Elephas maximus indicus: one gene and its partner. The protein of the gene in region 2 purifies or fractionates together with the protein of the main gene of each other region. This does not show direct contact. Links are inferred from orthologs where the notes say so. Each region holds a gene or a part of one and is shown on either strand. Other genes may lie near its edges.

Region 1 (7,317 bases), on a different chromosome or scaffold from region 2:
CACTCTGAGAAACTGACAGCCCTCTAAAAAGAACATTCCCAACACTGAGCACACATTTCATCTTTCCACAGCAGATTCTGCAGATGTTAATCTTTAACCTAGCGAATTTGGATGTTCCTCTCTATAGGACAGAAAAAGGAGTGCTAACCTTGAGTTAGCACTTCCCCCTCTCCATACAGGTTAGATCTGGGGCTCTCCTCTTTCCTTCCCTGGTCACAGCTATCTCTCTCGGCAAGGAGTGATTAAACATTTAAACATTCAAACAAAAAGACCATATTTTCTCCTTATACTCTGATTTTTATTGCCACTGTGACCCCAGCTACCATCTGCTGAGTGCTTCCTGAACTCAAGCGCTGTAAAACTCACTTAATCTTTGCACAGCCCATGAGCATGTATCAGCCCCAGAGAGGCCAAGGGGCTCACCAAGGCCCCATGACAAAAAGTCACCAAGAATCTAACCCAGTCTGTATGACTCCAAGGGTTATACCAATATTATGTGTCTTACGAATAAATTTTTAAAGAAGAAAGCACACAGTATGACTTCTACTTTTAGAAGCCCCATGAGAAGTACACCGTTACAGACTCTGACATGGAGATGCAGCGGGCAGCCTTGTAATTCTCTACAGCTTTGTAATGAAAAGAGCTCCCCTCACCTGCAGTGGAGTCGACATTCTCCCAGGCAGCTGCTCCCCCAAGTACATCATCTACTTCTTTCAGCTTGGGATACTTCCGATTTGTCACCTAACAAACAAAAAGTCTTCAGACTCTCCAAGGAAGTGATTGGTACAAACCCTGGGCCACCAAACCAGAACAGTCCTCAGGTGTCTTCCCAGACTTGCTTCCTCCAACAAGCAGTGGAGGAACAGTAAATAACAACAAAGTTCCTGCTCTCACAGGCCAGGGCTGTGAATATAGAGAACCTGTGACCAGGTTGGAAACCCTGGTTGTATAGTTGTTAAGCGCTATGGCTGCTGGCTACTAACCAAGAGGTCGGCGGTTTGAACCCGCCAGGTGCTCCTTGGAAACTCTATGGCGCAGTTCTACTCTGTTCTATAGGGTCACTATGAGTCGGAATCGACTCAACGGCAGTGGGTTTGGTTTTCTGGTGAACAGGTTGCCCACCAAGAGGAGAGGGGTAGTTTGAGCAGTCACAGATCTCTGGGAGGATTACCAAAAAAAAAAAAAAACCCATTTCCGTCGAGTCAATTCCGACTCATAGCGACCCTATAGGACAGAGTGGAACTGTGCCATAGAGTTTCGAAGGAGCGCCTGGCAGGTTCAAACTGCCGACCTTTTGGTTAGCAGCTGTAGCACTTAACCACTATGCCACCAGGGTTTCCCTGGGATGATCAGAGGAAGAAAAATGGGTTAGGTGTGGCCCTCCTTCTCTCCCACCTCTCCAGGGCACATGATAATCCAATATGAGAGAAACGTATAAAATGGAAACCAAAGAATACCACTTAGCTGGGTAGCCCAGACACCCCCCACCCAGGTAGAGAGAGGTTTCAAAGCAGCTTACAGTTGGCTTCTTTTATCAGACATCCCTGAAACTTTCAGGGTTACATAAGGGTTCGCTCTTCCCGTCTTTTGGGACTCTAAACTCCCACAACACAGTTATACACTAGAGTGTATGCAAATAACAAAACTGAGGCAGCACAAACATACTCTACTTCTGAAAAGTATAGTGTTCCAGATGTATTAAACCCAATGCTGTTGCACTGATTCTCACTCACAGCAATCCTATACAACACAGTAGAACTGCCCATAGAGTTTCCCAGGGAGCAGCTGGTGGATTTGAACTGCCGACCTTTTGGTTAGCAGCCATAGCTCTTAAACACTGCACGACCAGGGCTCCTCAAGATGTATTATCAATGGAAAAATACTAAAATATTGTCCACTTATAATACAGTATACCCAAAACCAAACCCATTGCCACAGAATCAATTCCAACTCAGAGAGACCCTCTAGGACAGAGAACTGCCCCATAGGATTTCCAAGGCTGTAAATCTTTTCGGAAATAGACTGCGACATCTTTCTCTCCGAGAGGCAGCTGGTGGGTTTAAACCGCCAACGTTTGGGTTAGCAGCCTAGCGCCTAACCACTGTGCCACCAGGGCTCCTATAGTACAGTATGCAGCCTTCTTTTACTAAACACCCATTCTAATGCAGGTTCCATTCCAGGCATTCAGACTAGGATACAGAAAGGGACAGAACAGAGAAAAACTCCCTGCACTCCTGCAGCTTATGTTTTAGTATTAATAAACAAAGCACATGAGTAAATTATAAAGTATATTAGAAGGTACGTGTCCCATGGAAAAAATAAAACCGGGTAGGAGAATAAAATTGAGAGGGCTGTAACTTTAGTGTAATCATTTAAGTAAAGACGGGACCACCAAGTCACGTGGATCCAGAGCAAAAGTGCGCCCAGCTGAAGAACCTATGCAAAGGCCCTGCAGGTAGCAGCGCCGGAGCATGACGGGAGATACCGCAGTGGCCGGTGCTGTTAGGGAAAAAGAGCGAGAGGGAGAAGGACGTGAGGAGGCGAAATCCGAGAAGCAGGCGGGCGGGGTCAGGGCTAGAGCCTGGGGGTGCCCTGTAAGAACTGCTTTTACTCCCAGCCGGCCGGGAACCACTGGAGGTTTCTGAGCACGGACTGCTGGGACTTGACTCGGCTCAGTGAAGAGCACACTGCGCAGGGAGCCTAGCCAGCATTTTTCTGCGATAACCCCGGGACTGTTCTACGGGATTAGAGGCTGGCTCCGATCGTCTCAAAGGCAGAGCCGACATGGGCATGAGCGGATAGCGGGTGAGGGTGGGACCCACCTTGCGGGTGATGTTGTGCACGTAAGGGCAGGTATTGCAAGCGAAGCGGTGGCAGCGCTGCCCCTCCTCCACAATCAGCCCGTTTCCGCAGCCCGGGCAGAAAAGCAGCATAGCCGGCGAATCAGCCCGATTCCGCCAGCCCCTGCAGCATCCTGATTCCCGGCAACCTCCGCGTCCGCTGGGCGCCGGCGCTCGCCCGGCCTCGAGCTCTCATTGGCCCAGGCAAGGCACTCCTCAGGCCACCAATAGGCACGCTGGCCTCGCGCTCCCAGCGTGCCCAGCAGCAGACGGTCTTGCACTTCTCATTGGTCAAGGTGGCCCGCCCCGCCCCCAAGCGCACCAATGGCTGTCCAGGCTTGCTCTGCGGTCCACAGTCCTTTTGTGCACGCAATTCGTCTTCCTCTCGCCGACTGGCCGGGGCGAGAGACCCACGGCGGACGCAGCCCTGGAGGGGGCTGAGGCTGAGGCGCGTCCCGAGGCGTCGGAGGTCGACGAGGACGACGACGAGGCGCTCCCGCACTCGGAGGTGGTGGACGTGTTCCAGGAGGGTCTCGCCATGGTGGTGCAGGACCCCCTGCTCTGCGATCTGCCGATCCAGGTGCGCAGCCGGGGTCTTTCCCAGCGAGGCCGGGGCAGGAGCGGCGGGGAGCGGACCCCGAGGTCGTGTGGATATTGCAGCCCCTGAGCTGGAGGAAGCACAGGGCTGGTCCTCGGAGGGCGCATTTTCCTGCCTATTTCTGTTGTTGTTAGGTGCCGTCGAGTCGGTTCCGACTCATAGCGACCCTGTTTCTGTGCCCTTCTTTTACTGGAGCCTCTGTCCACTTTGATCCTTAAACTTGAAAAGTATGGGTGAAATTCGAGATCGGGGTGCTGAAGAACTGCGAGCCCTAATATAAGCAAGGATCCTTTCCTCTACTTGCTTGTCGTAAAATATGGACACCCCTTTTTGGCCTCTGTCAACTTGTTTTGTTCATTGTCATTTGGGATGATGAGAAGAGCACCCCACTTTTGTCTTTTCCAGGTTACTTTGGAAGAGGTCAACTCCCAGATAGCACTGGAGTATGGCCAGGCCATGACTGTCTGTGTGTGCAAGATGGACGGAGAGGTCATGCGTAAGTGATGCCCTCCTCCCTGCCACTGTGCTTTCTCAGGGCTGCCAGAGACATCAAGGCCACCACGAACCTGCCCTGCCCCGAGGTTGGCCTGTGGTACCCACTGACCTGAGGTCTTCTCCCATTTGTATCCCTGGCTGCAGCTGTGGTCGTCGTGCAGAACGCCACAGTCCTGGACCTGAAGAAGGCCATCCAAAGATATGTGCAGCTGCGGCAGGAGCGTGAAGGGGGTATTCAGCACATCAGCTGGTGAGTGGAGCAATTCCCAAGCCAGCATGCACACGTGCTGGACCTGTGCTCTCTGGTCCTCTGCCATGACTGAGGGGTGAGTGCCCTGTCTCGAGCTCTTTCAGGCAGAGACAGGTCTTCCATGGATTCCTGCCACTGCCTCCTTTCTAAACATGCTCATCTGTGTTGTCCCGCCTCCGCTGCTTGACTCTTCACTTGGGGGCACCTTTAGGCATTTCCAGTGTGACATGAAATGGTCTCCCTGGTTACAGACAGCACTGCTCGGTCAGGGCCCACCCCTCCCTCCCTCCCTCCCTCTCTCCCTCCCTCCCTCCCTCTCTCTCTCTCTCTCTCTCTCTCTCCCCTACTCTGCACCAGTGCATTTCTGCCAAGGGTGTTCGACCCCTATGCAGCCCTTTGGGACCAGTGCCCCTTGTAGCTCCTTCAGGCCTGGTGTGCACATCATGCAGGAAGAGAACTCCTTGTTTCCTGAGTCTCCCTCTTGCAGGTCCTACGTGTGGAGGACCTATTATCTGACCTTTGTGGGAGAAAAGCTCACAGAAGACAGGAAGAAGCTCCGAGAGTAAGTCCTGGCCACATCTTGAGCTGCTGAGGGGTGTCTGGTCCTTGTCTGCCTCTAGTCCCTGTACTCTCGTAAAGGAAGGGGCTTCCCAAAAACACCTATGTGCCGGATCTCAGCCATCCCCACTAAAAGGGCAGGCAGAGGAGTTGGCTACAGCAGTCCTGGCTGGCTCTCACCACTGTGAGAACATCAGGGTCCTGTGGATGTGCACAGGTCAGATGGAGGGAAATGTAAGCATGTAGAGGGGAAGGGCCACCCACTGAACAGCATGAGCCGCTTCCTCGCTCTGCCTCCTTCTCCCTGGCACCACCCCCTCTTCTCCCCTTTCTTTCCCTTCTTTTTCACAGGCCCCAGGTAGGAGTCACTGGTGTATCTTTCTGCCCATCAGACACATCCGACCTTTCTTTCTCTTTCAGTTACGGCATCCGGAATCGGGATGAGGTCTCCTTTATCAAAAAGCTGAGACAAAAGTGAGCCTCCAGCAAGGACAGAGGTGTGGGGGACAAACTCTTCTCCTCAGGACATTACCCTTGGCCACTGTCTCCTTCACAGAAAGGCAGGTTGCAGCCTCACCCCAGTTGTGCTCTGCCTCCTCCTTCCTCCCCCATCTGGAACCAACAATGTGAGCTCCATGACTGTCAGGTCCTCATTTCTCTTCCATTTACTTGATCTGAAGCCCTCCTGAGGCCCAAACCTGACTACATGTGGATCCCACAGGACAGCCTCATATACAAAATAAATGTTTGCTTTTTAGTTTGAAAGTCAAAAAGCCAGAGTACCCCCGCCAGGAGGTACAAATGCTGCCCCATAGGGAGGTGGAGAAAGGGAGCAGGGTTGGAACACATGGGCCCTGAGGTCCAGGGTGACCACCTGTGCCCTGTGGCTGCATGGTTCCCCAGATGGCAAACTGCTCATGCCGTGATCTGTACAGCAAGGGGGACAAGCAGAGCAGCTGTCTTTGTTTCTGTTTGTGGGACCAGGGTAGAATGTGTGTAACACAGATATGGGCTGGACCAGAGGCCCCTTGGGGCTCACTGGGTGAAAAGGAGGGAGCATGGGACTGAAACTACAGCTGTTGGCTGGACCAAGCATGGGGGCTCTCCAGCAGGGCTGAGGGCAAGGGCATCATTGGGGCACCCCACCCCACCATCACCTACCAGTCACCAAAGGAAGGGCACCGTGCATCCACCCGGCTGAAGGACCTCCCTCCACAGCCACACGATCGGATCCCAGAAGGAGGAGGCAGCTAGGATTAAGGTAACGGCAGCTAAAACGCTCCCATTCGTTTACTGGCCGCGTGAGGTGGTTGTCAAAAGAGACTAGTTAGAAGGTGATTATGGGCATTAGTGTAACAAACATGGTGACATGAGAGGTTCAACAGAAGTGAACAAGGCACAGAGGTCTGTGTTCAGAAACATGATCTGGCCAGCCAGCAAGGGCAGAGGCAGGCTTGGCACCGGGCTCCAGGCCTGCTGGAGCATGGCTGCAGCCCCCACCCCTCGGGCCTAGCTCAGTGCAGCTGCGTATCTAGCTCGTACTTCTCACAGAACTTGTCAGTGAAGGGGATACAGGTGAGGAACTCACACCACTCACAACGTACAGGGTAGAAGTAGAAGAGGACCACCAGGCTGCCGAGCAACCCCAGGAACACGGCCTGGAAGATGATGATCTGGCAGCGCTTGCGGTACAGGTCAAACTTGCCAAAGCTGATGTATGGCAGGAAGGCAAAGGAGAGGAAGAGGCCACTGACAAAGCCAGAGATGTGGGCAAAGTTGTCGATCCAAGGCAGCAGCCCAAAGGTGAAGAGGAAGAGTACCACAGCCAGCAGCTTGAAGAAAGCACGCCACGGACTCGCCAGGATCTGCCAGCTCTGGAACAGCTCCACAAAGAGGCAGGCCAGAATGCCAAACTGCGACCCAGCCGGGCCCACCTGTGGGGGTTCGAGGCACCGGAGCTGACCCAGGTCTCACTTCCTCTTGCCCCACCTCCCTGGCCTGGAACCAATCAGAACCAAGGGCCAAACAGAGGGACCTGATCCAGTGCTGGACGTGGACAGATGTGCATGAGTGTACCCACCCGAGGGACACCTCACCTCTGCACGGTAAGGCAAGAAGATGGCACTGGCCAGGTTGCCAGTGATGCCACTCAGCAGGTAGATGATGGAGATGCGGTGCCAACCGGCAAGCTTCTCCAAGTCCCGCAGGATGGTCATCTGGAAGCAGACGGACACCAGGCAGTGCAGGATCCTGAGGTGGGGGAGGGGAGGGGATACTCAGGACGGTGGGAGCCTGCCATCCCAGCCTGGCCACTCCCCAGCACACCCCACCATGCCCAGTGTGTCACTTGCCCTGCGTGCAAGAAGAGGGACAACCACAGGCGGTAGAACTGGTCGGGCACCTCAGGGTTGAGGAAGGGCAGGAGCCCGCACACATCATCCATGCAGTGCACCTGCACAGAGTGGCCATTAGCACCCACGGTGGCGGGGGGGATCACCCTCTGCCCCAAGACCTACCTGAGAGCAAAGTGTGGCCTCCTCGTGAAAGTAGCCCCTCATGAAGTCACAGTACTCCCG
Region 2 (7,625 bases):
AATAAGAATGTCGTCGTGCACTGGCCGGATAGTGCCCTCTGGGAAGACATCAGCCTGGTTCCCCAGGGGCACCCATGTCATGTGCCTGGTGTACACTAGAGAATGAAGCATGTCAGAAGACTTCAGCCCCTAAAGCCATACTCCTCGTACCCGCAACAGGCAGGCTCTCTTCCGCACATTACCACCGCTCACCTTTGTGGTTCACATAGAGTTCACTGGGATCAGAGGAATCTTTAGAAGCGTGGGGGTTCCGAGTGCACCTGACTTGTAGCCGAAACTGCAGAGTGTCTATCTCTGTGCCTTCTTCATCTTCTGCGTAAATGCAAGAGAAAGAGATTAACTCTTAGAAAACTAGTGACCATTTGAGTGTCAGGCACTATGCTGAGGGCTTTACATACACTTTTCATTTAATCCTCTCGACAAACTCATGAAACAGGTATTATCTTCATTTCACAGGTGGAAAACACTGATGTACTAAAAGATTAACTTTTCCAAGATCAAATGCAGGTTTTGAACTCAGGCAGTCTGACTCCAGAATCTTACTTTAGAGGAAAGCTGCCCTCCTTTTCCCAAAATTTTATTTTCCCAAACCCTTACCTTGATTCCGATACTCAAAAAGACGAGGATCTGCATGAATGGGAATGAGTCCCAGCCGGTGAGCAAGGATCTCATCCTGGACTATGGATGTGTTGTTGTACACCAGAACCTTTTCCACAGCCATGGTTGGCACCTGCTCAAGGAAACAATCACCAATCACCCATCTGCAAAGACCCAGTAGGCTCTTCACTCCCACCCTGTGACAGGGAGAGCTCTTCCTAGAAAAATGCTTGATAAAGAGATAAGAAGAATGACCAGAAGGAATGCTCAGCAAATTTGCAGGAAAAACAAGGGTGGGAGGGTCACTTTGAGATCCTCAGCAAGCTTCCCCATACAACCTTGCCGCTACATCCATTGATACCTCAGCTAATAGAATGCGTCGAAAAGCATTGGCGATGGCTGCATCAATTCCCACCATGTCGAACTCCAATGAGTTTTCATCCATGTGTACCACATCCACACGGAAATTCTGGAGGGACAGGAAAAAACACTGAGGCCTGGTCTCTATGCTCCCCCCTCCCTAGATATTTCCCTTAATGTTTTTTTTAACATCCTCTAAAATCCAAAAACCTCCTCCATGCCCAGATGTCCCTTTCTCCCCCAATCCTTTCATAGTTGAAAAGTTTCTCTGTTTTTGTCTTCCGTTCATTCAAAACCTCTGTAATCTGCCTCCAGCCAAACCATCTCACGGAGGCCGTTCTATTAAAGAACAGAAGCTTCCATATTACTTAGGGCAAGTAATACTACTCAGTCCTTACCTTGCTGGAATCCTCTACTACATGTGGAATTTTTTAATAAAATCCTTCCTTTTTAAAATTCTACTAGTCCCTTGGTTTCTGAGCACCAATCTTCTAGTTATCTTACGATTTTTTCTAAATTCACTATTTTTCCACCCATCCCCTAAATATTACTACTTCCCAAGTTCCTGTCTCTCACTTGGGTGACCTCAACCACACAATTTTAGCAACTCATCTGTACACTCACAACTCCAAAAATTATGTATCATTTCTGATCTCATTTCAAACATGTTCTACTAGCCTGCTAGACTGCTCTGCCTGCAGAAAATTGAATACATCGTCATTCCTCTTCCTCAGATCTATTCCTCCTTATCAAACAATAACATCACCATCCATCAAAGTTCCCTAAGCCAGGTTATTTTACACTTGGTCCTCACAAACAAAAAAACACCAAACCCACTGCTGTCATGAGTCAATTCCGACTCACAGCAACCCTATAGGACAGAGTAGAACTGCCCCATAGAGTATCCAAGGAGCGCCTGGTGGATTCGAACTGTTAGCAGCCCCAGCACTTAACCACTACACTACCAGGGTTCCCTTGCCCCTCACAGCCCACATCAAATCAATCACCACTTTGACCCTCTATTCCCCTCTTTGTTCAATTTCTGCAATCATAATCTTAGTTCATTCTCTCCCAGCCATCAGGGTTATGAATCTTACCAAGTCTGCTTAAAAACTCTTCAAAAGTTACCTGTCACCTACAGTGCCTACAACGAATTCCAATCTTGCCTACCACTCCTGCTGGTCCATTTTACATTCTAGCAATACTGAACTGTTTGAACATTCCAGGAGTACACCTCACGCCTTTATAATTTAGTTCATATTCTTAGTTCCTTCACACTTAGCTGTTCACAACTTGTTCAAGGCCCAATTTAGATGTTATCTCCTTCAGGAAATTTTCCTAACCCTCCCCCCGCCCCCATGCACACCCTGTGTCTATATTGCTATCAACCGCCTTACAAAGTTAGACAGGAATCATTTGTTTACGCGAAATGATTCCCCAACAAGAATCACAGAACAGGGCAGAAACTGTGTCTAATTCGGCCTACTACACGCAAGCGCCTAGCACATCGCTGGGATGGGAACGGGGCTCAATAAACGTCTGATGAATAAAGGTAGCCTTAAGGGCAGCTTCTGAGGCACAGGCTGTTCAGATCACAAGGTCCGGCCACACACACCCTCTCCAGACACCTCCGTCCGTACCCACCTTACCCTACCCTAATCGCTTCCCCTCCCAGTACTTCCAATCCTCCAACTCCTCCTTCACCTTCTCGAAGCGCTCCTGGTCCCAGGCATCGTCATAACCGGAATAGTTACCGGGGAAGTCGGTGGTATGAACCTAAAGAGCAAGAGAGACGAGTCTGTCGCCACTCCGACTCCAACTCATTCCTGTTTCGCTCTCCTTCTCTCTCCGGAGTTCAAGACCACAAGACTTACATTGCGAACCCCGAACTCCCCAAGAACCACGCGGTCCCGCATTTCTTCCACTGCCTGGGCCGCCGCCATCTTCAACCGACCCACGTGGCTAGAGCGTCAAACTGGCGAGCGCGAGCTAGTCCTACCGTCTCCTCGGCAACGAACGCTCGCCTGGAGGCTTAAGTATCGCGAGGGTTTGCCCCGCCTCCTCCCACGTCCCAAACTTCCGGAAGTCAGTTTGAGCCAAACATCCGGGTTTTTCGTTTTTGGGTTCCGGCTGATTCCATCTCTCCTTCTTGCCCGTGGACATCTCCCTCCCTCAGGCCCACGTCTCGCCCACTTCTCCGCGCGCGGGGTAGCGCGGGCTTCAGCGACGGGAGCCCTCGAGGGACATGGCAGCTGCGGCGGCGCCGGCCGGCGGCGCCCGAAACGGGGCTGGCCCGGAGTGGGGAGGATTTGAAGAAAACATCCAGGTAATGGCCCCAAGGCTCCGGCTGCCCCCAAGGCTGGCGACCGTCCTGAAGTGTCTTGGGAACTTTCTCGGGGCCTAGAAGTCCGTCCCTAACCTCCGTACCGTCTGCTCTAGTTGCAACAGTTCTTCACTGTTTTGGGTCTCAGTGCAAACCAAGTCGGTGGGGTTAGTGCTGACCTGAAAGGCCAGATACTCCGGCTGGAGGGCCACAGGTCTCTGGGCCTTCCCGAGGCGTTAGAAAGAGCGTGCTTTTGCTTTAGGGGCAAGTTGGGAGGTTGGCCGGGGTCAGGCATGACGGGGGAAGGGGTAATAACTGGCACTGGCTGAAAACACTGTGCACAGACATGCCTTCGCCTTGTGAAAGACAAAGGAAATGGGTGCTTTTGCTGCCCTTTGATAGTTTGATAGGGAAGATAGGAGAAATACATGAGTGGAAGACAGGTTTCCCAGGCTCGAAAAGAGGGCAAAAGCCAGGATCCAAAGGTTCTGAGAGCAGATGAGTGGGAAGAGATTGGCAGGATCTTTGGTGATTCCCACCCATACCCCAGCAGTGGAAGAACAAAACTCAAACCCTAGGGTGAGCAGAGGAGTACTTAACCGACGGATCAGAAAATTCCAGCACTCCAGGAGCCATTGTTTTCACAGGGTGGGGGCTCAGCTGTGATTGACATGGAGAACATGGATGATACCTCAGGTTCCAGCTTTGAGGATATGGGTGAGCTGCATCAGCGCCTGCGTGAGGAAGAAGTAGACGCTGATGCAGCTGCTGCTGAAGAAGAGGATGGGGAGTTCCTGGGCATGAAGGGCTTTAAGGGACAGCTGAGCAGGCAGGTGGCTGATCAGGTAAGCAAGGCTGGATCCCTGGCATGGGGAAAAGTATATCTAGGCAGGTCCCAGGTTCTGGAGTTGGTGTTGGTGAAGCTCACTCCAAGTTATCCAGTTAGAACCATGTAGAAATCCAACAGAAAAATAGGGAACAGTCCCCAGAGCCAAGAGGCTCACAATACCCAACCTCCCACCCCCATCTTCCTTGCTTCAGATGTGGCAGGCGGGAAAGAGACAAGCCTCCAGGGCCTTCAGCTTGTACGCCAACATTGACATCTTAAGACCCTACTTTGATGTGGAGCCTGCCCAGGTGCGAAGCAGGTGAGGATCCTTCTCCTGACAGAAACTGCCCTCCTAACACCTAGTCCTTCATCCAGCCAACAACCAGATATCAAGCCCTCAGGACCCCCGCTCTTCATGACCCCACCACCCCTCATCGCACCTTGTACCCCAGACACACCATAACTCTCACCACCCACTGAACACGACATGGCGCTAAACACATTGGCTTCCTTCACTTCTCCATGAGCAGATTCATTTTCCCTCAAAACCTAACTCAAATGTCACTTCTTTGTTCACCATTCCTCATTTCCATCCCCCATTTGTCCTCTCCCAATGTTCCTATAAAAAAAAAAAATTATAGAACTCTGTTTTTCTCTAGTAGATAACACTTCAGCACTGCTGTACTTTCTCATTCCTGGGTCTGTCTCCGCAGACCAACAGCTCTTTGAGAGCAGACTCTTGTTTATCTTTTTTTCCCGGCACCAGAACAGCCTGAACCAGAGTGTCAGTGCATAGTTGCTGAATGACTGTTCAAGAAACAGATTTAATCTTGGCTTGGTTCTTTGTTCCTTAGTTTAACTAATGTTTGTCAAAAAATAGTACCACTTAAATATTTATTGATCATACTTCTTTATTAAGTACAGTACTATTCTTGTTGTGTCTGATTCAGTGGTGAAGACAGATGGGAGCCTTGCCCTGGTGTGCAGTTACAAGACAGCACTCTTATGCTATGGTGGAGACACACAGGAAGAACTCCTGACCCAGGGTGGGCTGGGGAATGGGACAGGCCAGGTATCCCAGAGGAGGTAAAATTTAGCCAAAATCAAAGGTATTATTAGGAGCTGGTCACTTAAGAAGAAAGCGGGGACATGACTTGTACTTTTATTTTTTCTGTCTGGAATTTTCATAGCACTTCAGATAGATTTTTCAAGAAAATACCCAGTGGTGCCTAGAGGAATGGTAAGCAGGAAGAGGCAGGGGGCACTGTTTCCCTTAGGGACACCTTCTGAATCTTGCCCAGGGCCTCACCATCACAACCCTGAATGCTGGGTATTATGCTCTGCTGAGGTTTGCTTGTTTTTTAAAGAGGAGCAGGTCAAATAGGTTCATCGTCAGGTCTTCCCCCAGGACCCAGCTAGAGTCTCTGAATTCTGTATTGGTGCTGCTTCAGTCAGCACAGTGTCAGAGGAATGTTCTCCCTGGAAGTATTTCTAGGGGGAAGGAAGTCATTTCCCCATCCCCTGTCTCTTTACTGCCCTGTTCTCCCTGAATCATCTAGCATGTCCCCTGGGCGAGTTTCCTTTACCCTGGGATTAGAGAGATGAGTAAGACTCATGCCTTGACCTCCAAAACCTCACAGCTTAGTGCTACCTCTGCTCTTATCTCTCCTCTCTCTCAGGCTCCTGGAGTCCATGATCCCTATCAAGATGGTCAACTTCCCACAGGTGAATAGTGGGTGGCATGTCTGGAGAGCGAGGGGAGGCACCAGGGCAGAGGGTGGGGCCACCAGGCAAAGCCTGGGGAGGCATGAACAGAAAAGCCATGGTACCCTTCATGCTGAATGAGTTGGTATATTGACAGAAAATTGCAGGTGAGCTGTATGGACCTCTCATGCTGGTCTTCACGCTGGTTGCCATCCTCCTCCATGGGATGAAGACATCTGACACCATTATCGTAAGCAAAACAGAGGACATTGGGGGGTGGCTTAACTGGGTTGGAAGCTGCCCAAGGAGAGGATGGTAAAGTGAAGTGAAGGAGCAGTCCTTGAGGAAGGCCCTCAGAGGCCTTTCAGGGCTAAGCAGAGCCTTCGCCCCACAGCGGGAGGGCACCCTGATGGGCACAGCCATTGGTACCTGCTTCGGCTACTGGCTGGGCGTGTCGTCCTTCATTTACTTCCTCGCCTACCTGTGCAATGCTCAGATCACCATGCTCCAGATGCTGGCACTGCTGGTAAGGAGCCAGGCATGGTGGTGGGCAAGGGTAATCTTAAGAGAGTAGTCAGGCCTTGGTCTGCATGTGTCCTGGTTCCACAGGACCCCACCCAGGGCCTGGAATGGGAAGAACTGGCCACTGGACCCTTTATTACCCAGGGTCCCCATGAAGGCCAGAGACCAGCCCAGCCTGAGTGATTTTCCTTTCCACCATCCTCCTTCCTAGGGCTATGGCCTCTTTGGGCACTGTATTGTCCTATTCATCACCTACAACATCCACCTTCATGCCCTCTTCTACCTATTCTGGCTGCTGGTGGGTGGGCTGTCCACCCTGCGCATGGTAAGCTGGGAATGGGGTTTTCAGGAGTGGGCTGTTCTCTCAGGGATTTGGGAAGAACAGCCTAGAGCTGAGGTAGAACCCCATGAAGGGTTCTGAATGGGCTGGAAAAGTCCAAGATGGTTCTGCCTTGGGTAGGGTGTCTTCTCCCCATCCCTCGCTGGATCCAGGCCTCTGAGCTGTCTTCCTGTGGGCCTAGGTGGCAGTGTTGGTGTCACGGACTGTGGGCCCCACGCAGCGACTACTCCTTTGTGGCACCCTGGCTGCCCTGCACATGCTCTTCCTGCTCTATCTGCATTTTGCCTACCACAAGGTGGTAGAGGGTAAGTGACGGGAGGGCCAGGGTAGGGGTGGCTGTGGGTGCAAACAGCTGCCAGGGTTGGGGGGCTGGATGAGATAGCCTGTGGGCTGGTCCCAGCCAACTCCTGCTTATCTTCCATCACCCTTCTTTCAGGGATTCTGGACACACTGGAGGGCCCCAACATCCCGCCCATGCAGAGAGTCCCCAGAGACATCCCTGTTGTGCTCCCTGCTGCTAGACTTCCTGCCGCCATGCTCAACGCCACAGCCAAGGCTGTTGCGGTGACCCTGCAGTCACACTGACCTCACCTGAAATCCCTGGCCGGGCCCCTTCCCCCTGGCTGCAGAGCAGAGGAAGATTAAAGGACAATACTGATGGCATGTGTCTCTTTGATGGGGTCTCCAGCTGCCACAGAGCTGTAGCTGCTTAAGCACCTCCTTGCTGCCTGCCAGGGCTTGTGATAGGGCACAAGGCTGGGAACTCCTGGCCAGGACTGCAGGCTCTGCAGCCAGTGCAGAAAGTGGGTCAGCTCCTCTGAGGCCCCTCACCACCTACCCCTTCCTTCCGTTTTCTTTCTCCCACATTGTCTTGCTAAATATAGACTTGGTAATTAAAATACTGATTGAAGTCTGGAACTGCAGCTACCCTTCCAGTGGTCCTGCTTGCC

Evidence for each region. The genes of interacting proteins can lie anywhere in the genome.
Region 1: the proteins of POLR1C (region 2) and POLR3K purify together in Homo sapiens (affinity purification with mass spectrometry; 4 studies listed by BioGRID and IntAct, counting the BioPlex papers as one, with this or other methods). This does not show direct contact. The link is inferred for Elephas maximus indicus from reciprocal best matches to the Homo sapiens genes POLR1C and POLR3K.

Annotation. Positions count from the first base shown.
Region 1 is NC_064830.1:57,373,844-57,381,160, forward strand, and holds the start of POLR3K (DNA-directed RNA polymerase III subunit RPC10), read right to left. Parts: upstream 3,029-7,317; 5' UTR 2,934-3,028; coding exon 2,823-2,933; intron 742-2,822; coding exon 654-741; intron 1-653. Other genes in the region: SNRNP25 (U11/U12 small nuclear ribonucleoprotein 25 kDa protein), read left to right, coding at 3,379-3,420, 3,844-3,934, 4,078-4,183, 4,671-4,745, 5,162-5,219; RHBDF1 (inactive rhomboid protein 1), read right to left, coding at 4,284-4,424, 6,346-6,675, 6,838-6,991, 7,093-7,193, 7,258-7,317. UniProt on the Homo sapiens protein: Core component of RNA polymerase III (Pol III) which synthesizes small non-coding RNAs using the four ribonucleoside triphosphates as substrates. Can mediate Pol I proofreading of the nascent RNA transcript.
Region 2 is NC_064819.1:107,947,443-107,955,067, reverse strand, and holds the start of POLR1C (DNA-directed RNA polymerases I and III subunit RPAC1), read right to left. Parts: upstream 3,066-7,625; 5' UTR 2,901-3,065; coding exon 2,832-2,900; intron 2,734-2,831; coding exon 2,662-2,733; intron 1,417-2,661; exon of another isoform or gene 1,067-1,416; coding exon 959-1,066; exon of another isoform or gene 734-958; coding exon 598-733; exon of another isoform or gene 313-597; coding exon 193-312; exon of another isoform or gene 96-192; coding exon 1-95. Other genes in the region: protein YIPF3, read left to right, coding at 3,203-3,283, 3,928-4,125, 4,322-4,428, 5,789-5,834, 5,971-6,063, 6,208-6,339, 6,547-6,660, 6,857-6,980 and 1 more. UniProt on the Homo sapiens protein: DNA-dependent RNA polymerase catalyzes the transcription of DNA into RNA using the four ribonucleoside triphosphates as substrates.